Mytilus edulis: one gene and its partners. Each later gene encodes a partner of the first gene's protein in a complex. Links are inferred from orthologs where the notes say so. Each region holds a gene or a part of one and is shown on either strand. Other genes may lie near its edges. The genes, in order: cleavage and polyadenylation specificity factor subunit 3-like, cleavage and polyadenylation specificity factor subunit 4-like and cleavage and polyadenylation specificity factor subunit 2-like.

Region 1 (10,941 bases):
AAAAATTCTTGTGATGACTCTCATCCTGACAACTGTCAATTGATATTACTGAAATTCATATATAAAAAGATATTTCCATAAGAGTACCAATAAATCTTAAGTGTGTTCACATTGAGCGAAATTTGGTGTGGTGTTTCTGTTCTCAACACTTAAACTAAACTCTACTACATTCCCATCGATACCACTCAAGATGTATTCTTCTAGTACTCTTCATTCTTAAGTTTGTGTATGTATTTCAGTGAAGTTTGCATGAATGTTTCATACTTTTCATAAGTTTATCTTGGTGTCAAATTTGAAAATCAGTGCTTTTGATGACTTCAACATACTGGTACAAATTTTGCAGTAAAACAGGGAAATCTAGCTATTATGTAGCAGTCTTCTTCTTATTTTAAGTGTGATAATATCATAATTGTACATGTAGTAATAAAAATATATCATTCTTACCACTCTCCTTCGAGAGTGAAGTTTCTGTCTCTACTGACCATCCTTTATAACTGATATATTTCTGGTACATGTTACACAAATCTAGGGTAAATAGTTTAGCCTCCTCACCACCTACTCCAGGATTTATCTCCAGTATAGCATCATTTTTATCATACTTCAAGTCTGGTACAAGTATATCTAAAATCTAATATATGTCAAATCTTGAATAACAAACATTTTTGTATGCAGATATTTAGTTTTCAGATCTAAGAATGTACTGCAAGCAATAAGACAGCATCCATCATGTTCTGATAATAATGATAATTGGGATATATCCATTGCAACAATATATGTTTTACAGTCCAATTTTAAATTATAGTATTCTGACTTTCAAAAACGACTTTACATTTTATTTATTTCAAAATGAGAGTAATTCAAAAGGACAAATTGTCTTGTATCAATAATTACATTACTCTCCAACAAATTATTAATGAATCAAACTGAATGTGTCATTTTAATTAATTTAAATTAAAATTCTTGCATCAGAAAACATCCTCCACATGCTTAAATTCATGTATCTCAAATTAGAGTATTTAGTTCAAAGTAACTTTCAGCTGTCTAAAAAACAAAAAAAAAAATTAAAATGTGTGTTCAATGTATATATGTATGTCATGTATGTGTATGTCATGTATGTGTGTTCAATGTATATGTATGTCATGTATGTGTATGTCATGTATGTGTGTTCAATGTATATGTATGTCATGTATGTGTATGTCATGTATGTGTGTTCAATGTATATGTATGTCATGTATGTGTATGTCATGTATGTGTATGTCATGTATGTGTATGTCATGTATGTGTATGTCATGTATGTGTATGTCATGTATGTCATGTATGTCATGTATGTCATGTATGTGTATGTCATGTATGTGTATGTCATGTCATGTGTAATGTGCTACTAAACAATAATGATCTTTGAAATTGGAGTTTTTTGGGGGGAGAATATAGGTTTAACTTTTCTAAGATGTGGATTAGACATGTCTGATATGTTTTATAAACATTCATCTTTGATGATTAGCCACTAACCTGTTGTTTCATGTCGTCTATCTGTTGGTTTATTGACTCAAGTTCAGCCTCTGCCATTGTCTTCATTTCTTCATCTTCTGAATAACAAAATTTCTGAAAGTTAATGGTTTAAAAGCATACATTTTATACATAAAAAATACATGGACATCTATGAAGGTCTATCATCTCATGGTAATATATTCACTGAAATTCAATTGTTGAATGGATGTCAATCAATAATATATATTTGACCAAATTTATGAAGATGCTTGTTTCTATTAATATTTTAGGACAGGGTTTAAAAAGAAATACTGTAAAAGCAGAAATTTTCGTGGAGGATTTAATTTCGTTTATTTCGTGGAAATAATATATCCACGAAATTAAAACCCCCACGAAAATTTAACTTCCATATAAAACCACTTTCAGTTTAAGGAAACCACGAAATTAAATCCCCATGAAATCTTACAGAGAGACAAAACCACGAAATTTTAACCCCACGAAAATTAATGTTTCTACAGTATTGTTATTTCTTCTTTTGATAATGAAAAGGTAATACATTTGTAAAACATGACAAATCTGTATAAGACATAAATAAGCTTACCTTCAATAAGAAGTTGTATTTCCTCTAATTCATTATATTTTTCTTTCATTCCACTATAAACGTCCACAATTGGTTCTAAAAATACTCTTCTAGAACCCATTTCCTTTGTTTTCTTTCCTGTTTGGTATAAATCGAAAATATCATTATATTCCTTATTCAAACTGTCCAAATATTTTATCAATAGGCCATCATCTACATTTTGTAAAGAGGCATATTCCCGTGTAAAAATAAAAAGTCCATTTCTCATACAACACTCCTGTAATGGTCTACAATGTCTCCCTAAATTTAAGATAGTTTCTACACCAACAAGTGTCTGAAGAGTTCGACATCTAACAGTTAATTGGGACAATAGTAATCCTTTCTTGGTCTGTAACATACCACATGGCTCTCTGACAGCACTGAGCATGTGTGAGTATTTACACCAAGTCATAACTGGATTCCATTTTTGTTTTATTCTGTACAAATTCTTTCCAAAACAATAGTTTATTCTCTGCATTACCATTGTATACAAAAAGGTTTCCTAAAATCTTCAATCAATTACTACTGTGTACTTTTTCCCTGAAATCTTCAATCAATAACCATGATAACTAATGTAGTTTGCCACTAAGATCTTCCATCAATTACTATTGTACTTTTTACTAAGAATATAAATCTGAAAAGAGAGGTGAAATATATATGAAGTATTATTTAACAATACTTGAGAAGGTATGCTTGTCAACAAAAAAATCTACTCTGTCAACATGTTCAATTTAATTTGAACACTTTGGAAGATAGATTCATGCTGTACAGACATTAACAATGATTGTGGTGTTCTTATCTGTTCAACATGTTCAACACATGCAAACTTGAGAAATATATTGTGATGTGACTTTTCAAATGTGCCTAAGCCAATGCAAATGTACAATTCTTTACAATACATGGAACAGTCAGGGGACTTACTTAAATAAGTGATTATCTAAATCACTGATTTAAGTAACATTATTTCCATAAAGGTTGGAAGTTAGAGTTGTCTTTCTTTAATAATCACCTATTTAAGTAGTACAAATTAATCACTAGAAGAAGTGATTTAATTTTATTGTAGCTTTAAATATAGAATACTAATGATCCAGGGACTAATTATGTTTACTTAACTTTAATTTAATTTAATTAACTTATCAGAACCAACATCTGTGTTGTCTAGGATGACCAGGTCATTTCAGGTGATGACCTTGTACTGAATCTAGGATAATGACATAAAAATCACTTGTTTAAGTATCAGACCTCAATTTCCTTCCCAAAAATCACTTCTTTAAGTATCATTCTTTTAATAATCCTTACTAATTTCAACACCCCTGAACAGTGAGATTTTTATCGCGAACAGTAGAATTTTATTACATAATCTGAAAGATGAAACCTTGAACTTCACAGGAAAAATACTCCCACTGCTGGGAAAAATCTTTTAAGAAAGTATCAGTTCATTATGTAAAGCCATTATTATAGCATTTTTTCAACTAAAATAGAATTTTCAGCTAAATGATAGCATCAAAGGCAGAAACCTTTCTACTTAAAAGAAGCAAAAAGTTTTGTTTTTTTTAATTTTACTAATTAAAAGATATTATTTAAACCTATGTGTTTAAAATTTGGAAAAAAATACAAAATTCCAATTTGTGACAAAAAAACGATTTTGCTACTCAAATAAGTGATTTAAAAATCACCTATTTCAGTAAGTCCCCTGACTGTGGAAGGTACCAGAAAAGAGTACTAGTACTGTGAAGTGCCTAATTACAGATCCTAACAGAGATGACCACTTTCATGTTTTGCAAATATTGACAGTCAAAATTCGCCAAAAAAGAAGGGTGCAGATGGCGCCCAAGAAGAGTCATATGTGTAAGTTTGCTCTGTTAGCAACTGATCTACTACTGCTCAGATAAGTGGGTGCTTTTTTCAATTAAATCACAGTTAGTGGCAAAAAGTAAAGAACTTTGGTCTTGTGGCAAGACAACCAGTTAAAATGATAATCAGCAAAATCATGGCCACAGAGTCCTTTCACCACCAAACACCACTGTATACCGCTGAACACCCCAAAAAAACAACACTGACCACAGTGATACTATACAATAAAACGATAAAATAAATTAAATAGCATATTATTAAATCAATTTTTAGATTTTTATGTGCATCATTGTTATGTCAAAGTCGATAATCAATAAATCAATATAGAGTTAATTGTCCCCAGATTCATCCCTTTATCCAGATTACATTGTGTGTGTATATGTATATATATATTAAACATTTCAAATAAAATTCAAACATATTCGTAATAAGTAATCAGTTCAAGTATCCTTGATTTCTCTTCATCAGTCATGTCAGTTAGATTTTGATATATATATATATATGATAAATGTCTCTTCTTAAAAGAGGGGCAAAAGATACCACAGGCCTCTACAATAACTTTTTTTTTCAACTACCAAAACTTACTTGTCCGAATGAAATTGTTACTTGTCCAATTTTTTTTTTTACTGTAAAATAATCTTTTTACATCTTCAGTTGATTAAAGGAACAAAACGAATTGAAACAATAGAACAGAATTTGATGGGTTTTTTTTAAAATAATTTTCAAAAATATGAGTCAAGTACAACTGAATCAATTCATGTCACAGGACTTAGGTTATAGTTCTCATCAATGCTAGTCTCATCAGACTCTGCACATGAGGCACCATCTGATAGGCCTGTACACTCATTTGACATTTGTATCCTATATTTTTCTAAGTAGAAAAAAGTGTATTCAAATACAATCAATAAAAAGAAGATAAGGTCTGACTGCCAATGAGAAAACTCTCAGCAAGAGACCAAATGACACAGAAATTTACAACTATAGGTCACTATATTGCAAGTATTGTTTTTTTTCTACTTATGATCAAATATGATTTTGTTAATTTTATGGTAAATAAAAAAAATATTTTTGTAAAAAAATGTTCATCAAAGTTGAATAATTAAAACTTTTTTTCTGCAAAATAATTGAACCTGTCCCGACGGACAAGCTTGATACAGCTTTTACTTGTCCGACCTTTTTTCCCTCTGGTATCGGACAAGCGTTATTGTCGAGGCCTGTACCAGAGGCACAATCAAACTCAGAAATCGAAAATAAACTGACACAATGACGGACAACTCCATGGCTAAAAAAGAAAAAGACAAACAGACAAATAATAGTACAAGATAGTATTAATATTCATGATATAGGTACAAATATTTTAAAGATGAAAAAAAACAAGAAAAAAAAACATATTTGAGGTGTCCAGTGACTGTGTTTGATGTAGATATTTGGTCTGTTAATCTTATTATTTGTTGAATTTATAACTTAAATATTATATTTAGGTCACATTTATAACGATAAAAGATAACTAAAAAAAATGGGGGTTTTCGCTGGTGTTCCACTGTGTGTGGTGGTGTTTGGTGGTGAAAAGACCTAGAAAGGGTGCCTACTAATTGCTGTTGTGTGCCCAACTTTTCGTCTTTTGAAAACATCCCATGGAACTCAGAGACTCAGCAGTTGATATGCTGGACTGAGGGATTTCTTGAGTTACGTAGAATTAAATTCTTTGGATGGGTTGTTCTCTCCCCAGATGTGGAGATGTTGTGAAAGCTAATATATGAACAACCAAACAAACATCAGTGTCCACCTGTCCACAGAAAAAGTATATTTCCTGAGAATGATCTTCATTTACTATTTTTGATTTTCACTTATTGTTTTTACATATCACAATGAAAATAATAAATAAATCAATCATGTCAATAGAAAAAGAAAACACAGTTAAAAGGAAATGAAGATCACGAAATATATGCTTCATAAATACAGAATAATTCTGTCTAGCAGTAATGAATCACTATATATAATAGCACTAAACCATCTGACTAGACTATTGAACTGTCAGACCATTGAATCATTTGACTATTTGACCGTCAGATTACCACTATGGCTAGTCAAAATAATTATGACGACTTGAAAGGCTTTTTAACCCTCTTGCTGCCAACCGTTTTTCAAGGTTGCATTTCATATGCAAGAGAATACGACAGCTACGTCTGTGACCTAACATGCCAAACAACGTCATTCGATATATGACGTCACGACATAATGACCGTTACATTTGGGACCAATTGGAGAAAATCATGACACTGTTTAATCTTCGGTTTTTTAATTCCAAGAGATACAGCATTGATTGAGAAACTTGCATAAATTTTACCATGGACATATGTGTCCCTCCGGCAGCAAGAGGGATTTGTGGCGCCTTCCTAACTATAAATTATTTAGACTACACAACAGCCCCTACAATGGATCTGTAGCCGAGTATGCTAAATTTTTTCTGCGGCTTTGATGGAGAAACATTTGTTTGCCACAATTTCTTTTCATTCAGTTTTTTAGTTTTACCAAGGTTACATGTATTTATGTTCGTGCCTCAGCTGTAACCAGGCCAGGATAATTGTTTTTCAAAATCCTCCGAATACCTCTTCCCAAGAAAATCAAATGGTAATCCCCTAAGAAGACTAGAGATATGAAAATTTATGAACAAGATAATAATTTGTATTTGACCCAAATACTTAATCCTAAGATATATAGATCCTTACTATTAATCCCCTAAGAAGACTAGAGATATAAAATGAACAAGATTGTATTTGACCCAAATACTTAATCCTAAGATATGATCAGATATATAGATCCTTACTATAATTTTCGGCATATTTTTTCATCATGGGCGCAGACATCTTGAATTTTACAAATGCAGATTTTTAAAAGAAACGAAACTATTTAAAAATGAGGTATTATTAAACAAAACAAATAAATTAAATAGATATTTCATATAAAAATATATGAATTTGCAATGAAATAAAGTTATTTTTGTGTTATTTTATGAAAATGTATGACATTTTACAGTATTTATGTAAGTTCTGTTTGTCATATTAAGAAGTAACAATCAGAAAAAAAATGGCTTCTAATGAAACAACAGAGGGCCAAGTTCCTATAGAAGAAAGTGATCAGTTGATAATAAAACCATTGTTAGCATATATTTTCACTCATAAATAATAACTATAGATTCTTAGCTTGTTCGTCCTTTCATATAAAGTATTATTAACTGTGCCTACACACACACAAACAAAAAACCAATCAAACATTGTGATTTTTTTTTTTTACAAATATCACTTTCTACCTACCATGAATACATGTATATGGTCAGATCATATGGTTTCGTACGTCAAACGAATTTGTACTATGCATGTTTTTTTAATGGAAATTGTGACGTCACAATGCATTCTTAATAGCATGAAAACCCATGAGACAAGACTATCGTTAATTAGATTTATATAATTTTGCGAAATAGGGCGCCCAAATTAAATAATTACAACATAACTGTGTCATTATATCAAAGGTACCGATGATGGCTTTAACTTGTGTGGAAAGAAAGCACCTACTGACATCGTTGAACTTGAAGAACTGTTGGTTCCAATAGACGTACCTTTATATCACAATCTGGATATCTACACAGCTTGACCAAGGAATCTTTGCTTTTAATTTATGCAAATAATAGGACTGCTTGAGTACCGCATGCCTAAAAAAGAACTCTAAATTTGATATCTGATACATACATGACATACATCTTTATGCAGATTTTTCTCGAAATCGCAAAAATTAGTCTCACATTTTTGTCCATTCTTCTAAAAATGCAATGATAAAACATGGATAATGCCCGCAAAAATTTCTGAATTTATAGTAGTCATGCTGGTTTAGAATTATCTCTATTTAAAATTTATTATATATCATATTTCTCTCATTGATTAATATTTATTTCAGAGGTTCTGGTCAAGAAGTAGGTAGATCATGTCACATACTGGAATTCAAAGGAAAGAAAATTATGGTAAATATTCAGTAACAGGTGTTAACTTTCCAGAACCTAGTTTTTTCTTGGGACATTTGAGTGATCAAATCTTTCACTATCATGACTATTTAGGGAAAAGAAATCACAATTTATACACCTTTCATAATAATCATGATAATGTGACCATAAAAAGTTGTATGTCATTTAAAAATGTAATAATTTCTTAAGCAAGTAAGATCAAATATCAAAATCACATTTGTGTGCTTAAGCAAATATTAGTTGGTTGCAATTGACATGGGTTAATCAATTTAACAAGAGTGTGACGAAATACAGAAAAATCTTCATCATGGTAATACACATAGATGACCTTATCATGCTTATCCGGTTGATCCAAGAAAGTAAACAACACCTTTGATTAATTCACTTTTTTGTAAATGTACATTTTAATTACATTAAAGGTGCATAAAATACCTCAGCTAGCTCAGAGAAAGAGATTAAATCAGTTTCAAGTAGGAGTCATGAAATATGTTCCAAAACAGGCAGATTTTTTGGTTTGCATATTTATCAAATATATATCACCTTGTGAATAAAATCTCAGTATATTTGGAGAATATTACGGTACCTAAAAGAAAACTCTTCAAAGGACTCAATTTCAAACACATCTGTTTTACTATTTAAATTATGACTAACCACAAACTAAATTTTTCAATTTACAGAAGTTAACTCTCCATGCAACCAACATGTACAATTGGCAATTAAAATGAAGTTTATGATTGTAAGAGTACATTTATATTGTTAAAACGCCATTTTTTCTGTATTGTAGTTGGACTGTGGCATTCACCCAGGACTTCATGGAGTTGCTTCCCTTCCATACCTAGATTGTGTAGATGTTGAAGACATAGATCTGTTGCTGATCAGTCAGTGAGTGTTAAATTGAAAGCAAAAAATTTAAATACATTTTAAAAAATTTCATTTATCTTGCAGTGATTATAGTTTGGCAGTGCCGTACAGGAATAAAATTGAGAATGGAAATGGGGAATGTGCCAAAGAGACAACAACCTGACCATAGCGCAGACAACAGCAGAAGGTCACCAACAGGTCTTCAATGCAACGAGAAATTCTCGCACCCGGAGCCATCCTTCAGCTGGCCCCTAAACAAATATATTCTGGTTCAGTGATAATGAACAAATTGTACACAAGAAACTAAAAGTTAAAATAATACAAGACTAACAAAGGCCAGAAGCTCCTGACTTGGGACAGGCACAAAAATGCGGCGGGGTTAAACATGTTTGTGAGATCTCAACCCTCCCCCTATACCTCTAGCCAATGCAGAAAAGTAAACGCATAACAATACGTACATTAAAATTCAGCTCAAGAGAAGTCCAAGTCTGATGTCAGAAGATGTAACCAAAGAAAATAAACAAAATGACAATAATACATACGGTAAATAACATCAGACTGCTAGCAGTTAACTGACATGCCAGCTGCGGACTTCAATTAAAATGATTGAAAAATTATGTCTTCATCATATGAATATCTGGCACAATCCTCCCCGTGAGGTGTTTAGTATCATACCATCACAATAATCGAATGAAACATGGTTGAACTAAAACAGATAAGATAGAGAATAGGGAATGTGTCAAAGAAACAACACCCTGACCAAAGAGCAAAAAACAGCTGAAGGCCACCAATGGGTCTTCAACACAACTAGAAAATACCACACCAAAAACCTGCTTCAGCTGGCCCCTAAACAAAGATGTGTACTAGTTCAGTGATATTGGAGGCCATACTAAACTCCAAAACATATAATTGAACTAAAATCAAGACTTAACAAAGGCCAGGGGCTCCTGACTTGGGACAAGTGCAAAAATGTTGCAGAGCCTGGGTTATACATGTTTTGTGAGATCTCAACTCTATACTTCTGGCAAATGTGGAATAAAACAGATCTGTTAAGTATATTAGTTTCTATAGCGAGATTTAGTTTTTGTTTAGTACTATATAGTTCTATGTTCTTTATATTTTACAGCTTTCATTTAGATCATTGTGGAGCATTGCCATATTTCTTAGAGAAAACAGCATTCAAAGGACGGTGTTTCATGACCCATGCAACAAAAGCTATTTATAGATGGCTTTTGTCAGATTACGTCAAAGTCAGGTACATTAATATAGCAGTCCAACTGATTTTAATGTCACCCTTATCAGTGACACTTACATTAAGAAAGTAAAGTAACAATAAATACTGCATGAAGTTATAACTGTATTAAATGATAAGGTTGCTTTACTTTCCAAAACTTATATTCATCATCAGTTTGAATTAATTTTATACTGATAAGGATTTCAATAGATGGACATCAGCAAGGTTTCTAGAGGAAAATGTTGTTGAAATCATAGTTGATTTCTGTTTGATGGACATAAAATAGTCATATGGTCACTGCCCTCATTTTTTGGTAAAAAATGTCAATAATCTACTTTTTACAGCTAATAAATTGATGAAGTTACACTTATTTCCTGTTTTGTGATATGATACTTCACATTGATATTCTGATATTATCATCAAACAGTGTGTCTTAACATGCTTATAGACTTATACATTGATATTTTCATTTGTTTTGTATTTTGCAGTAATATATCGTCAGAATATCAGCTGTATGCAGACAGTGATATAGAGAAAAGTATGGACAAAATTGAGACTTTAAATTTTCATCAGGTAAGACAAAAATAATGGTTATGTTTTTAACCCAACCATTAAGTCTATGTCATTACTCTAGATTTTAAAATATGAGAGAAATCTAAATTATTAAAACATTATATGAGTACATGACTAACAGAAAGTATAAAATACCATTTTAATTATCTACCACCAGCTTGTAATTCTTTCTGAGAAGAAGAAAAATGATACTGATGCCTACAACCTAAATGCAGGATAATAGACAAGGAATCCTGATTTCCTTGGAGATTGTTTAAAGAACGTCTGAACCCCTTTATTTAAGGGTAACAGATAAGT
Region 2 (10,319 bases), on another chromosome or scaffold:
CAATGAACCGTGAAAATGAGGTCAAGGTCAAATAAAACCTGGGCAACTGACATAAAGATCATAAAATATTTCCATACACCAAATATAGTTGACCTATGGCATATAGTATTAGATAAAAAGACCAGAACTCAAAAACTTAACTTTGACCACAGAACCATGAAAATGAGGTCAAGGTCACATGACATCTGCCCACTAGGCATGTACACCTTACAATCATTCCATACAACAAATATAGATTAGACCTATTGCATATAGTATGAGAAAAACAGACCAAAACACAAAAATTTAACTATAACCACTAAACCATGAAAATGAGGTCAAGGTCAGATGACACCTGCCAATTTGACATGTACACCTTACAGTCCTTCCATACACCGAATATACTAGCCCTATTGCTTATAGTATCTGAGATATGGACTTGACCACCAAAACTTAACCTTGTTCACTGATCCATGAAATGAGGTCCATGAAAACTGTCTGACAGACATAAGGACCTTGCAAGGTACGCACATATCAAATATAGTTATCCTATTACTTATAATAAGAGAGAATTCAACATTACAAAAAATTTGAACTTTTTTTCCAAGTGGTCACTGAACCATGAAAATGAGGTCAAGGACATTGGACATGTGACTGACGGAAACTTTTTAACATGAAGCATCTGTATACAAAGTATGAAGCATCCAGGTCTTCCACCTTCTAAAATATAAAGCTTTTAAGAAGTGAGCTAACGCCACCGCCGCCGTTTCACTATCCCTATGTCGAGCTTTCTGCAACAAAAGTTGCAGGCTCGACAAAAATCTCTTTTTTCATGTTTATCATAAAAAGTTTTGATATTTTCTATTGCAACCAAAAACTGTAGATCTCAAATAATGAAATATACAGAAAGCTCTGTTAATTTCTTTAAGTACCCATGCCATATCAACTTCCAAGGGCCTGTGAATTAGTATTTTTCTATTGGTTCAGGTGACAGGTCCTTCATATTTGTTTTCACTAAATTAACACACAAGTTTTCTAGTTTGAATTGTTCTACATGTTTCATATTGGGGCCTTTTATAGCTTTCTACACGTATATGGTACAATTATTTTTCATTATTGACGACCGTATGGTGGCCTAGAGTTATTAATACATTTTCCTCCTTTGAACTCTTTTGGATAGCATTGGTTCTTTGCAAAAAATACTGCATTCTTTTTTATAAATAGGACAGTTACAGTAACTTAAATCAATACAACTGTAATGAACGTGAATTTATATTAAAGGCTTTTATCAAAAGAAGGAAACATGTCCATGGGACACAAATGATGCCCCCACTAGCATTAACGTTATAAAGGGTCACAACTCAAGAACTGTAAATGCGATGCTACCAAAATTTGTACTTGATCTGAGTTATGGGGTAATAAGCATTGTGTATACATTCTAATTACACAGTATTGTGCAATAGATTTGTAAGATCTAGACTTTTGTTTCATGTCAGAAACCTATATACTATGTCAAAAATTTGAACACAATCCAAATTCAGAGCTGTATCAAGCTTGAATGTTGTGTCCATACTTGCCCCAACTGTTCAGGGTTTTGACCTCTGCGGTCGTATAAAGCTGTGCCCTGTGGAGCATCTGATTCCAATTGTAACGAGGCACAACCCTAGAGCATTAAAAATGACTTCACAAAAATTCAAACTTGATCTTGGTTTTATGGTTAAAAGTATTGTGTATAAGTTTCATAACATTTGGTTGAGCGAACTAAGGTTAGATAACTGAAATGAAAATATTCAGCAATTTTTACATATGTAAAGGGGCATAACTCTAAAACCGTATAACTATCGCAACCAAAATTCAAACTTGATCAGTGTTTGTGGTAATGAGCATTGTGTATAAGTTTCATAACATTTGGTTAAGACAAACTAAAGTTAGAGAACAGAAACTAAAATTTCCAGCAACTTTTCTATTTGTAAAGTAGCATAAAACACTAGAATGGTAAAAGTGACGCAACTAAAATTCAAACTTGACTAGTAAATTGTGGTTATAAGCATTGCGTATAAGTTTCATACAATTTGGTTCAGACAAACTAAAGTAAAAGAACAGAAAGTTCAAACGAATTTTGGGATGTACGGAGGTATATACAAGTAAGGTTTTGTTTTAAGCCATTCATTTGATATATTAGAGTAATCATTGCCTCTGTGTTTGGATGACAAAGCAATTGAATTCTATTTATATAGGGCATGTTATGCCTTAAAACTTTTCCAGATGCACAGGTTTGTCTGTAATCTATCTAAATTTTGAGGTGAAAATGCAGCCATTTTAGCGAAAAGGTACACATCATTAACCTTAATAATTTCTACAGCACTTGTCTTGATACCCTGAGCTATAATATTCTAAAAAGTTACTGTAGATGCTGACCCGGTTGCTTTTAATACAGATGCTATATGATAAGAATTTGTGATAATACACCAGAGGTGGTATGATGTAAATTATTGGAAGGAGACTGAAGAAGAATTGATGTTGGGTCAATGTTTTTTCTGCTGTTAGTTTGATCCACTTGAGCATGCTGAACGAGTGAAGGTACTTATATCCACATTGGAATGTGAAACAATTAGTATTTAAATAAAGAAATTAAAAGTTTTCAAATGATTTTTGGCATCAAAACCTTCTGATCGATGTTTAGACAAAAACAATGCCCTTTTTTTTATCAAAGCCTTTACTCGTCCTTGGCCTGAGACATTAGACATTTAAATTATCGAGTATTTTATATCTGTGTTTTGTTTAAACAAACGATTATCACTTGTCAATTATCTGACAGCTTGGTCAAAATGTCAACTTGTTCTTGCATCAGTCATTCCCAATTCTTTCGATACACTCGGGCTTTTACCACGTTTACTTACAAATAGTAAAAGTAGAGCGGGAAAATGTCCATTCATGAAATATTCATGAATGAAAACGCAATCTCACGTAGATTTCTTTTGATTTTCTCTTCAGCACATGGCAGATCCGCGAAGTAGTGTTTGTGATACTCATTTTCAAAATGAAGTTAAATTCATCTGAATCGTCGGTGAACATTCATTTCTTTTTTATTCAAGCTGTAATCTTTGCAGTCAAGAGAGTAGTTACTCAGAATTTCAAAAGAATCTTCAAAGATTAAGAATTCAAACACTAGTACTACATTATCTCGGAGCAGAATGAATTGAGATATTCTGTAACCAGAAGTTTGAGGCCGACGCCTAAGCAAAGTCGCAATAGCAAGCTATAGCAAACTTTCCAAAAATGGATCATTTGTAGAAAACCATTCATATATACAATTCCTGAAACATTTGTAAATGATGACCAAGCATTTTAAGAGCTGAAAATTTTCCATAACATTAAGCTTGCAACATGACAACAATTATTAAAACAAAGGGTTATAAAATATAGACACTTACCTTGAGATTTATAAAGGTCAAAAGGACAATCTATATACTGCTTCTTTATCAAATATTCAGGATCATCTCTTATACCAGAATTGTAAATAACTAGAAAAAATAATTATTTTACATTCTATACATAAAAATTAGATAAAAAGAGATGGTACATGTGGGCATACCTCAATAAACCCAACTGACCAAACAAACAAATTATTATCGTACAGTATAACTGTAATACCAACATTTCTTTCTTACAGGTTTCTCCACAATAAGTCCTTCACTCTTCATTTAAATGTTCAGTAAACAGTTCTTGTGCACTTAATCTGAATATTTCCAATATCTAACCACATGCTGTACAATGTTTCAATCGTTGTCAATCATTTCAATCACATGCACATATACAGTTCTATTATAAAATACTTTAAAATCAGTTTGCTTGAAAACTTCATGTGTATCATATATATATATATGACTAATATACTTACAATGTTCATAACCTTCAAATCTGACACAAACTCCAGTCCCTGCTGTAGGGTTAGCAATGTTCAAGTATACCACTCTGAAATGTATTAAAAAAGTAATTCACTTAATCTATTCATATTTACATGTACAGATAAGGGGTCACTAACATACAAATTATTACCTAATTATATAAATTAAATTTAAAGTGTTGTTTTTCATGGTGGTGTAATGTATATGACATGTCTGGCAGTAAAAAATTAAAAATATTCAATGTCGTAGTCCATATTATTAACCCTTGCATTTAGGGAATGTGTATGTACCACCCCAATGCATTGTTCTTGAGAGCTACAATAGTGTTCCCTTCTTTCAGAGATTATACTAGGATGATTTTTTTTTCTCGTGTGTCTTTCTTGCAAATATATGGGGTTCCAAACTATGACAAACATGAAAAAGAGTGGACTTTGAAATGAAACCAGAGTAATTGCAAGAAATATGATACATGATATACATGATATATGAAATCATGGAAACTCTAACTAATTTAGAGAAAACTCAGACATGTGAGTGAGTGAGTTTTGAAGAAAACTTGTAACAGTACATGTACTAAGAAAGACAAATCTGACCAAGTGATGCATATTTTTGACATTAAATAAAAATGGCTGAGCAGCACATGAACAGGTAAGATTGATTAAATTCATTCTTACGTCTTTCATCAAATACACTTTGAATAATTTAAGAATAAGACTATTTATTATTCCAATCTAGGGCCCTTGATGGGCAGCATGACATGAACACATAAAACAATACATCATGATTTGTAATAGAAAACATTTTTTTATATATATATATATTGAAATCTTTATCTTCAGACATTGTCAGACAGATGTTTTTATCTCCATTCTATAAAAATCCCATAAATTTAATTCCTGGCAGGCCAAGAGATGGTTTCACAAAAAACTTACGACTAAGATTTATTGTAAGTCATTTGTAAGTATATACTGAAATTGAATTGTTTAGACTTATCATGCTTATGATCATGATGATCAATCTTAATTGTAAGTTTTTTTGCGAAACCAAATCCAGAACCATTAAATCATAAAATATGTTTGTTATTTGCCACGTTGTAGTGGTATTGTTGTTCCAAATATAGAAACCGGAAAACATGACAAAATTTATTCATCCGCAATGGAAACCTATGAACATAATGAAATGAATGATCCAAAAACAGAATATTCATCATGTTGAATGAATATGATGAAAGGCAGTATTTCAAAATTTGGCAGAAGAAATATATATATATATGACGTACAAAAACATATGACATGACAATGAAGTTACCAACCTAGACTGAACATCAGTTATTTACATATCCGATGGATAAATCTGTTGTACATGTTGTAGAGTTGTCACTGGTTCAGACGTACTTATAAATATAATTATTTTGTGACTTTATCTTGCATTAATTTGTAGGATCCTTTACAAAAGATGTGATTTTTTTCGGGTTTCGTATGAATTATATAGTAAACCCAGCAAATTGTAACAAACCCTGTGTATCATGTACTATATTACAAAGCTAAATTAAAACTGACGAGGAAAGGTAACACCCAGCCACCGAAAGCTTTATTTTAAAGCCATGGTGGTCTAGTGGTCTAGTGGTCTAGCGCATTGGATACAGTGCAGGCGATTTGGTGTCACGATATCTGAGTAGCACGAGTTTAATTCCTGGCGAGGGAAGAACAAAAAATTTGGGAAAGCAAATTTACAGACCTAAAATTGTTGGGCGGACATTTAGATGAGTTGTATATGTATATATATAGAGAGATAGAGAAGGGAAAACTCAGTGTCAGTCACTCTGTGAACATGGTGAAGTTTTATGACAAGCAAATTGTCAAATGATAATTGTGATCTGTCCTCTTCTTCTTAAAAAAGAGACATGTTTAATTACCCAAATATTTCTTCTCCAGGTTCATATGCACTTTTATGAGTTCTTAAGATGATTTGATTCATTTCATCCCATTTTTAACAATGAGAGAAAAGTTGACATCAAGTTCATGAAGTAATAAAAAAAGTGGAAAATCCCTTTCTGTTACTTTCTTTAATCTACTGTGTAAGCAACAAAAACTAGTTTCTTGCAAGGAACCAGTAACCGCAAAATTTAATCTCTCCGATTTGTTTTTGTGATTTAAAATGATACTCCCATCAAGCTCATGTAAAAAGCGCTTGAAAGATTTCAAAGATCAAAAAATAAAATCAACGTCAAAAAGACGCAATTTTTATTTTGAGTTGGTCTTACTTGAAAACACTAAAAATGCAAGACGTTGTAGCTCCCGTAACATACATACAGTTTGACATAACTGCATCTTTAGAAATGCAGCTTGGAGCTCTTCCCCTCCCATTTCCAGGGATGGACAGTAAGTTATTAGTTATGTTTTCAGTGGGTTATGGCTTATCCCAAGTTATGGGCCATAAATTTATTTAACTTATGCTACAGCATGTACTAGGTGTACAAGCCTAGTTCAAATAATTAGTCTTCCAATATTTCATAATAATTTAGAAGAGTCGAACCGCTCCTTTCCTATAGTCTACTGTACATGTCACATGATTCTGTACGTGCTCTCATTTGTCATTAGAAACATATGAGAAAATAATAATATTCTCAGATCTGCAGTGACATCACAACATGTAACTGACCAATCAATGATTAGCATTTTTGTTATGTAAACAATGTTGAGAGGTGATGCGGATAAGATTCCTCTAGATTTTCCATAGACTTATTGCAAATTAATTTAATTGATATATATCGTAACCAGTTGAATATAGTAATTTTACTCTTTTAATACTGTTAAAGACACTATATAATATCTCTATTTTGATTTTTAACATACTATAACCTCTCGTTAAAAAATTATCGGCAATATAAATAATCAGTTATCCCCTTCAAATAGATGAAAAATCTAGAGGATTCCGGATGGCATCACCTCCTGACAAATGTAAATGCCAGGATGTCCGGATCTGAGAATTCTGGGGTCTCACTAATTAGCGACAACAAGCGTCAAGAAGCGACAACAAGCGTCAACAAGCGACAAGAAGCGACAACAAGCGACAAGAAGACTATTTAGTGAAAAGAAAACATTTTTTTTATTAGATATAAAGAAATTTGTATTTAATGGTTTTTTTTTTAAATATACGAGCAGATATGTCTAATTAAAATGTTTTATTATATAGATAGACAAAGAAAGGAAACATTTGTGAGGAAGAAAGAGATTGTGAAGTTTATATTAGTATATTGGTAGATGAAGAAATTAAACATTTGTGAAGAAGAAAGAGATTGAGCTTCTTTTTTATATTTTTAAATATGAAGAATATGTATAAGATAATGTATGTATCTGTTTTCATCAAAGTCAAAGTATGAATAAAGGAATGGAGATATATATGGAGCGGGCATAATGGAATATAATATTTTGATTCATTTGCTTAATACTATGCTCTAAGTGTACTCTTGTTATGTCAATTCGATGCTTTTTTTGTAGAACTCTCAGCCACACTTTGCCATCTTTATTATTTAAGCGTGTTTCCAGACCCCACGACGAGGACGTGGTTCTACCTTGGGGTCCATATGATTTTTTTTTTTTTACAATAACATCCAATTAACACCTTCAACTTTGTACACGCATCAGACTATACAATTACATGCACCAGAATATACAATCTGACATTGTAAATAGTGAACACCTGTTGAAAACTCAAGATTGTCATTAATTTCCTTTCATCTTCAATCAATATGCATAAACATGATAAATATCTTTTAATGGGGCAATAAGCAAATAAAAAGATGAAATTTTCACATTTCAATTTTCTTTTCCTCTTGTTTGATTTCAGTTCTTTGTATTTCACAATTTGTGTCAATATTTTCAGGACAATGATGCACAAATAATTCATTTTGCGAGCTTAATATATATTGCACGAAAAGAGTTTTAAAAAACAAATTATAAGATAAATAATATGTTCTAAAACACAATAATTAAACGTAATACTGGCTGTTATACATAAAAGATGATAAAATATTATGTAAATAATGTTTCATTTTTTTCTATCAATTTTAACTTTCTTGTCGCTAAAATTATTTTCTTTTGCATATTCTTTTAATATTTATTGCAATGATTAATTTTAATTAAAAAAATATGTTTTCTTGTCGCTAAATAGTTTCTTGTCGCTTGTTGTCGCTAAAATAATTCTTGTTGTCGCTTGTTGATGCTTGTTGTCGCTAAAATTCTTGTTGTCGCTAATTAGTGAGACCGATATTCTGAAAATTATGTACATGTATAAGCGTTACAGACGGTACCTTGAATGACAGAATAACACTGTTAATATCCGAATAACACTTGTAATGACCGAATAACACTTGAAAATGTAATATAAGCACATATTGGTGACTTTTAAACATTGAATATTAATAATAGTTTATTATCATGATTATTGATGTATTTTATAACTTATAAATGATTTACAGAAAGCAGATTAGTTTATTAAAAACTTTTTTAATTTAGTGAGTACATCCAATATGGTGACCACGGAAATCACAATGGCCGCCATGTTCGATGTAAACACTAAATTCAAAATGATCTTTAGGAACTTCTCTGCTGTCAGTAAATCATTTTTAAAGTTACAAAATACATCGATAATATATTATTATTTATTAATCAATGTTTAAAAGTCACCAAATTGTGCTAATATTAAAATTTCAAGTGTTATTCGGTCATCGTGTCATTACAAGCGTTATTGTGATAATAACATTGTTATTCGGTCATTCGTGTTACCCGCATTACAGATACCAATAGTGGCAATACTACATGTAGTTTAAATCCAACAATGAAGAGAGAGCACCATTGATTCATTAATGGTGCGCACTTACAGTTCTGAAGCACTCTATGCTTGCATTACTTGCCATTAGAAAAATAGATAGAAGTACAAAACAGAGAATGTGCCTATAGAGGGTTAGTCCAAGATTACTCTAACGTCCAATGGCTGTTTTGCCAGATAAGCTGGGGCCTTGGGATGTCAGAGCTCGTCCCATATAAAAAATGGATATTTACCATCCAAAATAAGTGTGCTGCTTCGTCGCTTCTGGTACCGACAAACAGCCTTGGAATTACATAAATCGGGTATCAATATGTTCATTTTTCATTTATCTTTGAAATGAAAGTTAAACTGCCAGAATCAATGGGTCACTGTGAAAACTGTCTGAATATGAGAAAATAAAGGGTGGCAGGTAGGTGAATCTTACATAAATGAAGAGATAAATTATCTCCCTTTGCTGCAAAAATGCCAAATTTTGGCATTAAAATTGAAATATCTTTTTTAACTCATCGGTGACCTATATTTTTTATTATTGGTTTCAAATAAGCTGTACATAAACTAAATAATTGTAAAATTTAAGCGATTTCTGTAATTTAGTCCTTTTTTTATTTTGATATTATAACTATTTCTCCTATTAGTTCGTCAACAGAAAAAAGGACATAAACAAAGATGTATGCTTCTTTCGGAGGCAGATTGTGAGCTTAAATGAACGGTGACCCCATTTGTTAATTTCATTATGATAAAAAGTACATTTGTAAAAAAATATAGCGAAATCCTATATTAGAAAAAAAAATTGGATTTATACCCGCAAGCCCCCTTAAAACTGCAAGGACTCTATCATCACTGCAGCACAAATAAAAGAAACATGACAATTTCTTTTTGTTTATGGTTATCTGATCTGACACAAAACCAAATAATAGATTTCACTTAAGGTGGTATGGGTGTCTTTCGCCAAAAACAGAGAACCTTAGGTCCAGATTTTCTATCAAGTTAGCAAAATTAGATGCAGGAATGCAGATATTAAATTTGAATTTTCATTTTAAAGAAACAATTTGTACGAATATAACTTATAAATAGTAATTTTTTTCATGTGTAGATTATATTTGGTCGTTTAAAAAAAATAAAAAAATTGAGGGTATTTTAAGGGGAGGTAACTCTAAAACAGTGAATTTCAGATTTGTGCACAAACATGACAAAACAAAATGTTATTTTTCTCTAATAACGTTATAGAGTTATATCCTTCACTGTTTTATGATATGACTTTACTTCATACACATATGGAAATAAAATTATATTCTGTCATGTTTGTTGTGTAAATTCCAATGACATTTCATCCTGATTCTACTATAACCATGATAACTGAATTATCTTTATTTTATTTAGAATCTGGAGCAGCTATCTGTACATACTATTTAAGTAATGTTTGTAGTAAAGGTGCTGCTTGTCCATTCCGCCATGTTAAAGGAGACAGAACAGTTGTATGTAAACATTGGTTACGAGGTCTATGTAAGAAAGGAGACGATTGTGAATTTCTCCATGAGTATGATATGACAAAGATGCCGGAATGTTACTTTTTCTCAAAATTTGGTATGGAAATTATTGTTA
Region 3 (9,936 bases), on another chromosome or scaffold:
TATGAGTCAGAAGACTGAAATTATCAGATTTATTTTACATGAGAAAATATCAGTTTTGATTTTACTGAGAAATCACTGTATCTCATTGCAACCAATGCAATTTTTCTGTTGCCTATTATTTTTACAAGTTTCTTAACAATAATAATTGCATGCATATGTTAAGTTGACCTTTGATGAATCTGGCTATTGTTCAGGCCCTTTTTGGTCATATAAACATTTTTTTATACATCCTTGGCTTTTAAATATTCAGCTTTGACCATTCCTGATGATGGTAAATCCCGAAAAGAGCTTTGAACACATGAAACTTATAAACCGTTTTTTTATTGCTAGTATCATCATAAAACAAACAAAACTGAAGGCAGCAAGGCCACACTTATAATATTTTGGTTTGCCCAAACCCTACCCAAAGTAGGAAGGCAAATGTATGTATGTATGCATTTTCCTTCTTTCTTTTTTTTGCAAAGAAAAATTGAAGTGTCAGATGTTTTTAGGTCTTCATGTCAATCTAATAAATAAAACAGTTTATCACATCAAGACAATAAAAGGTTTGGAGTAGGCAGTTATTTTCTTGGTAGGTATATGTAGGGTTAGGGGAAACAAACATAATCCTTTTTATTGCCCATGCATCTATAAATTTCTGTATTTTGATGATTCTAACCTTTTCAACTGTTTTATAAAATCCATATTAAAGTCTTCATCCCAGCCACAATCAAGAAGGAAATGGAATTCATCCACCTGCAGAATGTAACATGGAGGAGATTCGTCATGAGCTCCAGACAGAGGCTGAAGTCTAATAATAGATGTCATGTTGACTCCTGTTCTTGTTGAAAGTTTATATGGTCTAAATTAATCTTGCATCTTTACATCTGAAAGAGATTGTACATCTTTATTAGAAAATCTGTTACAATGATAAATTGATTGTTGGTTGCTTAGCGTCCTGTGGCAAGTTGAACTTGAAATAAAATCAGCACATTTTGTTTGTTTCAATTTATTTGTTCACTGGAAGAAAATATCCTTTGACAGGTCCCATTGTCATCATAACAATGATAAAGCTAAGACAACCTTTTATATATTGTTTATGGGTTGCTGTCTTAATGATGAAAACATAACTCTTACATTTCCTTTAACCAATTACTAAGGTTGATGTTCTTACATTGCAGAAAATATTTGGACATAAGTCATAACTCAGGTTTTTTTTCATTAATCATTTGTTAATTGGTAGTAGTCCTAAAAACTTCCAATAACATTTTATTTTTAACACGACATTTTTTAACTTAAATATATATCTCAACAAGTTTGGATTTTAAATACAAACTGAGAGCCAATAGAATACAGTACTTAGTCTGTACATATGTAAATGTCATAACCAAATGACACAACTGACACAGTCACACCATTTCTTTTCAAAATATCACAAACGTGTTTTAGTCTTTTTTTTTAAATTTAATTTCAATTCAATTATTTTTGCATCACTGATATATCAGCCTTCTCTTACTTTAAGGGTCCCTATACCTAGAGTAAAGGTACCAGTTAATTCCTGGTTATGGTATGGTTAGAGGATATTTAATTTAAGGTTAGGGTTAGCTTTTAGGGTTAGGGCTAGTTTTGGGTTTACGGTATGGGTTAGGGTAAGGTTAGGGGTTAAGAATAGTTTAGTACATATAGCTCTTTATGGGTTGTCTAACATTTTGTCTAAAGTAAAAGAAGGCTGATATATCAAAAAGAGAATAAGAGAATATCACCAAGTGCTTTGGATAGTAAAAAGCAAATTTAAACAAGTTATTTCTAGAGTATATTTGTGTTCATATAATACTAAAATAATTCTACTGTCCCAAAGTGCCTTAAACTATAACTTTTAGTACCTATGGAACTTCCATTTTGTGACAACTGTACATTAATATAAACATATTTATCGTTTGAAAAAGACACACAGATCAGACACATTAATTGCTCTTCTAATATGACGTGCTTCTTTTGCTTTGTGAATAAACCCATGCTCTAATAAAATTTGTTTGCACATGGTCATGCGTATATTGACTACTGCAGAATAATGATTTTTATCAAATTGGCATGCATTTAATATAATTCATTAACTTAAAACAACTCTGAACTCTTAAATGATGCACATGTTGTTACTAATTCATTTATTATGACTGTAATTTGCAAATGGAAATTGACATATTTGAGCAAGATACGACAGCCATTCATGCTGGCTGTTCAAACTCCTCCCTCTGAAAATTCACATTGCCAGTCGTTTGCTTTTTTACAAACAAAAAAGGGAGGTTCAACTTCATGGAAGAGATATATACACAAACACTGTACACTTATATACATCGGATATAGATAATACCTTCATTGTCCTAATCAGAATCGAAATAATTGATGCAAGCAATACTTTATTGTAGTTTTAACATGGGTAGGTATTATATTCGTGTTATTTTATTTCCCCCATTTTTTCGTTATAATTATGAAATCTTCAGGTGACTGGCATTATGTTCGTTATTTTAGCCCTTACTATTGCTCGGGGAAATATAATCATGAATATAATGCCTACCCATTTTAAAACTACAATAAAGAATAGCTTGCAATGCATCAATTATTTCTTAAATTTGCTGTGGCATATTTTCCTGTTATTTTAGCCATTACTATATATGGCTTGGGGAAATATAATCACGAATATATAATGCCTACCCATTTTAATAAAATTGAGAAAGGAAATGGTGAATATGTCAAAGCGACAACCACCCGACCATAGAGCAAACAACAGCCGAAGGTAACCAATGGGTCTTCAATGTAGCGAGAATTCCCGCACCCGTAGGTGTCCTTCAGCTGGCCCCTAAAATATGCATAATAGTACAGTGATAATGGACGTCATACTAAACTCCGAATTATACACAAGAAACTAAAATTTAAAATCATACAAGACTAACAAAGGCCAGAGGCTCCTGACTTGGGACAGGCGCAAAATTGCGGCGGGGTTAAACATGTTTATGAGATCTCAACCCTCCCCCTATACCTCTAGCCAATGTAGAAAAGTAAAAGAATAACAATACGCACATTAAAATTCAGTTCAAGAGAAGTCCGAGTCTGATGTCAAAAGATGTAACAAAAGAAAATAAATAAAATGACAATAATACATAAATAACAACAGACTACTAGCAGTTAACTGACATGCCAGCTCCAGACCTCAATTAAACTGATTGAAAGATTATGTCTTCATCATATGAATATCAGGTACAATCCCTCCCGTTAGGGGTTTAGTATCATACTATCATAAAATATATGAGAAGAACATAACCCGTGTCATGCCAACAACTGTTTTTTTTTTAAGAAATAAATGTGTTTAGTTCCGATGCTACAACTACAATAAAACTACAATAAAGAATAGCTTGCAATGCATCAATTATTTCTTAAATTTGCTGTGGCATATGTTCCTGTTATTTTAGCCCTTACTATCGCTCGGGGAAATATAATCACGAATATAATGCCTACCCATTTTAAAACTACAATAAAGAATAGCTTGCAATGCATCAATAATTTCTTAAATTTGCTGTGCTTGGTACCAATATTTATGTTTTGCATGATAACAGATGTGCTTACTGTTTTCTCATTAGATCTTGTGCTTACCGTATATGTATGTAGGATAAAAGTGTTTTATCATGCATTCATGCTTATTGTTTATAATTAATACTTTTTTTTTTAAATTATACCCAATTTTTACAAGCAAGATGCCAAAATATTTGAAAATGACTTTAAATAGGAGCCGAATTGACATTTGCCGACTAGTACTACGCCAGAATCTGAGGTGCTGTTAGTCTGAATAACAATGTTGATGTAAGGCGTCAAAGAAAGAAAAAATATTAGCCTTTCAAGACGTCATAATTATATGGACTACCTGGCGGAGTTCACTTGAAACTCTCGAGTTAACAATACGATTTTACTTGAATCACTCGAGTTAACCCCTCGTACTCTAGTTCCAACCCTCACCGAGCCAGGGTTAAACTCGAGAAACTCTTGAATGACGTCAAACCAATGAGAATATTTTATTTTTTATGCTTGGTCAGGGCATTACCCTAGAGTGACTTAGAGTTGTTCCGAATATCAACTCTAGTGCGTTCACGTGATAATCTATTAACTCTGAAGTTGATTGTAGAGTTTCAAGTGAACTCGGCCCCTATGTCAGTGTATGTTGACTTGTTGTCTGGTTTGTGCCGGTTAGTTGATTAGCTTTTATGGGACCATTGTGTATATCTAGTATTGTGTGGATGAAACTAGTACTGTTTATTACAATAATTGATTTCACCTCATCTAATTCTAGCTTTGAAACAATTGCAAAGTGAATAGAAAACACTTTGTTTAGGCGGCCAAGAGCTCACGTTGGTTTGGATTTACACCGGATGTAAACTTTACATTAAAAAGGGAGCTAACTTCAGTTAAGTCATTTCCGGTTGAACTTTGTTACTGATGCAGAACTTATGATCACTTGTATGAAGTAATTTTTAGATGGATATGAAAGTTTCTTTTCATAATCTGGTTTTAATTTGGCGTCTTCAAATATGAAAGTGATGAATGATGTATCTATTCTTAGTCTCAGCTTTTGCAATACTAACTTGTGTAGTTTTGATTCTCTTTCTGAAGTTTTCATCTGATAAACAACATCAGCAACAAGTGAGTTTCTGTAAAAAATAAATAAGTTATGACAATTGTGACGTTTGGATAGTTTTAAATCAAATTCATTGTCATGCCAGTTCTATACTATAGGTATGATTAAGACTGATCAGTTAGAGATGTTTTGAAAGTATTGAGGCAGCTTTATCTGTTTATCTTGTTTATTTTTCCATTGATTGTTTTTGTGTCATACATCATTTACATGTACATGATGTAAGAGGTTCTGGTAAGGGGTTAATAGAAAATGAGCCCTCAGCTAAATAAATCTATAGAGAGAAATGGTCATAAATAATAAACATAATAAAGAGTTATGGTGTCTAAAATCATAAATTGAAAAAAAATGAAAATAACTGACTGAAGAATAAAAAAAAACTATAAACTATGAAAGAAAAACAGAAATGAGGAACCTCCCTAATCTCATATAACTTTATACCAGGCTTGTGGTAATTGTAATCATTAATCACCCAAGAATCTGATTACATTTTGATTACATTCTCATAATCATTGCAATGAAAGCAATCTAAAATTGTGTGTATGGGCAATATGAACCTTTTTCATATTCAAATTTGATGAATAATACTTTTTAAATTAGTTTTGTTCAATTCCAGCATGTTAAATAATACATTTTAAATCACTTTTGTTTGATTATTTAATTCCAGCATGTTTCAATCTTCCAAGTGGGTTATTATGAAATTCATTGTAATCGGACGTAAACAATATATTACTTAAAATTAAGTCAGTTATTTACCAAAATGGTATAATCATTCATTTAATTTAAGCATACAATTGCAATTTGATCAACTCGTGTATATATATTGAAAGTTACTGAACCCTTCTCTTCAAACTACATTAAGGTATTTTTTCACGAATTTACTTTATACATGTACATGTACATGTATGTAACAGTCGATTCAGTTTCTTAATAAATTGGCCCTTGGTCATATTAAAGTTTAAACAGTAAATTTGATTTAGATAATAAATCCTTAAATTGATGCATGTGTAATTAGAAATTATTTCTTAATGTTTTGCAAAAATTTCAATATAAAACATGACCTTAAACCTTAAAGATGTTGTTATTTTTTTAAGCAATAACAATTGAATCAAATAAAAAAATCTCTATCTCTCTCTCTACTTCATGTCTATTAATGTATCATTTATCCAATGGATTATCACAATTATCCAGCTGCAGGAAACAGTGGTCATTTGACAAAATGTTTCAGCTGAACCAATGAAGAACAGATAAAATTGACCATAGGTTTATAAAAATAAAAAACATCAATCAGTTACATGTGATAATACAGGAAATTGTAATACATGTATACTCTTAGTGAGCCAATTTAGTGGGATATGAAACATTTTTTAAATGTATATGAATAGAAGAGATAATGAAAAATAAATGCATATATTTTTTTCTTTAATAGCAGTCCAATGAGATCAAGATAGATGCAGTAACCTTTTTAAGATCAGTGAGAAGTACTAAGGTATGTCAACATTTCATATTATGTAAATTCATTTTTTGTTTTGCTTTTTGCCCCACTTCAATGGATGGATATACTAATCTTTTCTGTTCTGTGTCCCATTTTTAATCCTGTATCATGTTAACTAAGCTAATATAAAGTTGTGGTCATATCCTCTTGAAACATAAAAATAAGAAGATGTGATACGATTGCCAATGAGACAACTCTGCACAAGAGACCGAATGACACTGAAGTCAACTATATATATATATATAAGTACGTCTGAGTCAGTGACAACTCTACAACAGATGTATCCATCGAATCGCCATCAATGATGGTGATACATGGCTGTGTACATAATGTATATACAACTCGTCTAAACATCAACCCAACAATGTTAGATCTGTAAATTTGCTTTCGCAAATTTTTGATTCTTCCCTCGCCGGGATTCGAACCCATGCTACTGTGATATTGTGACACCAAATCGCCTATATATATATATAAAAAGAAGATGTGGTATAATTGCAAATGAGACAAAATCTCCACAAGAGGCCAAATGACACAGAAGTTAACAACTATACATACTTGTTCTTTATTATGTAAACTTTTTAAGGCTTAGGACAGAATGTGGTGATGTTTAACCTTGGGCAGTAGATAGTTTTAAAGCACAACATCAGAACCAAACAGAAAAAATAGAAATTTACCTTGAAGTTGTGGTCACACATTTATGTTCATGAAAATTAATTAATACCTTTGCTCATTAGGCCAAATACATATAAAAAAAAAAGTAAGGTTAGGGGGTAGGGATATTTTTTTACATTCAGCAAAAACATTCAACATTTTGACTTTAACAGTGCTTAATGAAAAATGACCAAAAAATTTAAGGGTGGGCTATTATTGAGGGGTTTGATGGGGCAGTCTCATCACAATTCACTAGTTGATTTTTTTGTCTATCACAATTTGCAGAAAATAAATTTCCATGATCAAGGATCACGAAAATATAAAAAATAACGGATCACAATAGCGAAAATGCACCGATCAAGAAGAACGAAAATAACCCATCAGGCCCCTCATTATTAAAACAAAAACATAGGGGTCGCTTATCAAAGTTTGCCCACTTATTAAATGTTATAAAACTTCTAAACAATGCTTATTCATACCACAATATTCAGATCAAGTACAATATTTCTGGTATGTTAAGTAGAGTAACTGGAATCACACATGGCCTTACATGTATGATGTGCATATTTTAACAAAATAATCTGGCAAATGAGGGTTTTGAGCCAGATTTCATCAGTTCCCTGAATACAGAAATGTGATAGTGAGTGCAGGATATATATGGTGTCTAATGGAAATATATTGTTGTTTTCTTCTTTGCTGTTGTTTAATCATGTTAAATGCAATGAAGCTATCTTTTGCATTCTCCAAAAATGTATTTCTTAGTTGTTCTCTCTTTATGTTTGTATTGAAAAGTGTTTACATATTTTAGAGATTTCTTAAAGTATTTATAATCTAATTTATATTAAGGGGATGATGAGTGACTTTTTCTATCACAATACAATTGTCTAATATTGTACTACAGAATGTACATGTAATATGATGTATGCTCCTTTTTAACCCAAACATCTTCTATAAATTAATGAATAAAATTGAGAATGGAAATGGGGAATGTGTCAAAGCGACAACAACCCAACCAATGGATCTTCAATGTAGCGAAAAATTGCTGCACTTGGAGGCGTTCTTTAGCTGGCCCCTAAACAAATATGTACATTGTATACTAGTTAAGTGATAATGGACATTATACTAAACTCTGAAGTTGTATTTACAACACACAAATAACCCAAAACATCAATGTTTTGTGGTTTTAAACAATGTATTTGTTTAGTGGACTTGTGTTTTTAGGTTTCTTGCTTTCATGTTTTTCTTATACATGTACCATATGTAACAATATAACTGATTCACTGTGGACATGCATTTCTTATGTATTCTTTCAACAAGTGCAAAGGAATGAAAACTCAATTGTCCAATTATTAAATGGATTATAACAGACAAGAAGTAGATTCAAATTCAATATTTTATTATAGTCTCACCACATACAAACATAAAATGAGATTCACATAAATAGACTTAAAACATTAAAAAATTTACAATGTATGTGCCAATCTTAAAAAAGATTTATGAGAGTCTTTAAAGACCCAATATATACATATAGTATACACACATTTTTACACATTTATAAGTAACTGTATACCATGTGAAAACCTTAAATTACATGTTATATTTTTATTATACCATTGTATTATTTTGATGCTAGGAGGAGCTATCCTCCTTGGCTTTTTTTTTTTACATACTTGATTTGCACAAGATTTTTTCAATGAAAAATAATCGTGATAATCATCAGGTTTAAAGTATTAATGCATTGTGAAAACAAATTTTTCATCAATAAAATTCCAGTCAGATGTTCTCATGAATATCCTTTTTATATTAGTTACATTTTTTTTTAAGTCTGATGAAGTTTTATCCTAGGTAATACATTTCAACTGAGGCACTATACAGGGGTCCAAAGGCGTCATTATGGAGTAAAGGGGGTGGCGTCAAAAGGCGTCATTATGGAGGAAAGGGTTAATGACAAATTTACCTGTTGATAATATGTAACTATGCATAGATTAGTTTAATTAAACTGCCTATCAAAAAAGTAAACCACATGAAGCATGCCTCAGGCTTAAATGTTGCAGTTTAAAGGAGATTTGTGTTTATAATAAATGAAGCAAGAAAATAATCAATTGACTATGAAAGTGCTGGTATTTTTTTGGTCAGTTTTCACAATTAATCATAAATGCAAATTTTATCAAACAAAAATTGTGCCTTTTAATTACATCAGTGTTGTTATTAATTTGTATAAACTATATGTGCGATGGATATATTTTTAAGCATTTCAATTTCCATGTGATATCAAGATAAGGGAAATATCTCATATTGGAAAATGTCCATGTCTGTATACATAATACTCAAGGAAATTAAAATATTCTTTTGATATATATGTAAGAAGCATCTAAACTACACAAATTGAAAAATCCAAAAAATCATAAACTCTCCTACTAGCCACAAATGTTTAAACCCATAATAAAAGCAGTTTAAATAGTATATATTTTCCAAGGATAACTGTATGTTTGGTATTGTTTACATGTTTACAACTATAATTTGTGCAAGTTTATGTATTAGGTTGTATGGTTGTGATTTATTGCTATGTATTCAGTTTATATTGGACCATGTAATTGATTTTTTTTCAATGCCATAAAGAAAAGATATGATGTATATGTTGTATTTAAAATCTTAAACATTTGTCTTACTTGTAAAGAACTATTCCTCAAACAATTTTTAAAGATAGTTAAAAAAAAAGTCAACAACTGGTAATAGGAATTTAACATGTAGTTTTAAATCAATTGAAAATGAAATTAAATCAGACATACAGTAAAAATTATAACACCTCTCAGGGGTCCTTTAACAGGGGACAAAATTGATTTTAACTTTGGTGAAACACTGTGATAAATGTCCAAGCACTTAAATAGTATCAATCAGACATGCACTAAAATACAGAAACACATACTTTAGTAGTACTTAATACCTGAAGTGGATTATTGTGTAATAATAGGAAGTTACCAACATGTAATAAAGGGACTAATAACAAGAGACAAAAAAAACCATTATTTCAAGTAGTTATATACTCTCAGTAGTGCAAACGAACAGTAAATCCTGGCTCCTTTAAACGTAAACCTGTTATGTAAGGTCTTCTGGGCCCCCTGTACATGTA

What was found.
Region 2: cleavage and polyadenylation specificity factor subunit 3-like (region 1) and cleavage and polyadenylation specificity factor subunit 4-like share a complex: the UniProt entries of both Drosophila melanogaster proteins name them as parts of the cleavage and polyadenylation specificity factor (CPSF) complex. The link is inferred for Mytilus edulis from reciprocal best matches to the Drosophila melanogaster genes Cpsf73 and Clp.
Region 3: cleavage and polyadenylation specificity factor subunit 3-like (region 1) and cleavage and polyadenylation specificity factor subunit 2-like share a complex: the UniProt entries of both Drosophila melanogaster proteins name them as parts of the cleavage and polyadenylation specificity factor (CPSF) complex. The link is inferred for Mytilus edulis from reciprocal best matches to the Drosophila melanogaster genes Cpsf73 and Cpsf100.

Annotation. Positions count from the first base shown.
Region 1 is NC_092350.1:41,932,309-41,943,249, forward strand, and holds the start of cleavage and polyadenylation specificity factor subunit 3-like, read left to right. Parts: upstream 1-7,008; 5' UTR 7,009-7,048; coding exon 7,049-7,119; intron 7,120-7,912; coding exon 7,913-7,976; intron 7,977-8,760; coding exon 8,761-8,858; intron 8,859-9,963; coding exon 9,964-10,092; intron 10,093-10,559; coding exon 10,560-10,644; intron 10,645-10,941. Other genes in the region: peptide chain release factor 1-like, mitochondrial, read right to left, coding at 445-628, 1,510-1,586, 2,090-2,591. UniProt on the Drosophila melanogaster protein: Component of the cleavage and polyadenylation specificity factor (CPSF) complex that plays a key role in pre-mRNA 3'-end formation, recognizing the AAUAAA signal sequence and interacting with poly(A) polymerase and other factors to bring about cleavage and poly(A) addition.
Region 2 is NC_092352.1:24,768,465-24,778,783, forward strand, and holds the start of cleavage and polyadenylation specificity factor subunit 4-like, read left to right. Parts: upstream 1-6,087; 5' UTR 6,088-6,165; coding exon 6,166-6,268; intron 6,269-10,097; coding exon 10,098-10,301; intron 10,302-10,319. Other genes in the region: uncharacterized protein, read right to left, coding at 3,414-3,503, 3,881-3,954, 5,803-5,864. UniProt on the Drosophila melanogaster protein: Component of the cleavage and polyadenylation specificity factor (CPSF) complex that plays a key role in pre-mRNA 3'-end formation, recognizing the AAUAAA signal sequence and interacting with poly(A) polymerase and other factors to bring about cleavage and poly(A) addition.
Region 3 is NC_092346.1:19,601,590-19,611,525, forward strand, and holds the start of cleavage and polyadenylation specificity factor subunit 2-like, read right to left. Parts: upstream 4,420-9,936; 5' UTR 4,304-4,419; intron 867-4,303; 5' UTR 808-866; coding exon 659-807; intron 1-658. Other genes in the region: uncharacterized protein, read left to right, coding at 4,570-4,668, 6,090-6,149. UniProt on the Drosophila melanogaster protein: Component of the cleavage and polyadenylation specificity factor (CPSF) complex that plays a key role in pre-mRNA 3'-end formation, recognizing the AAUAAA signal sequence and interacting with poly(A) polymerase and other factors to bring about cleavage and poly(A) addition.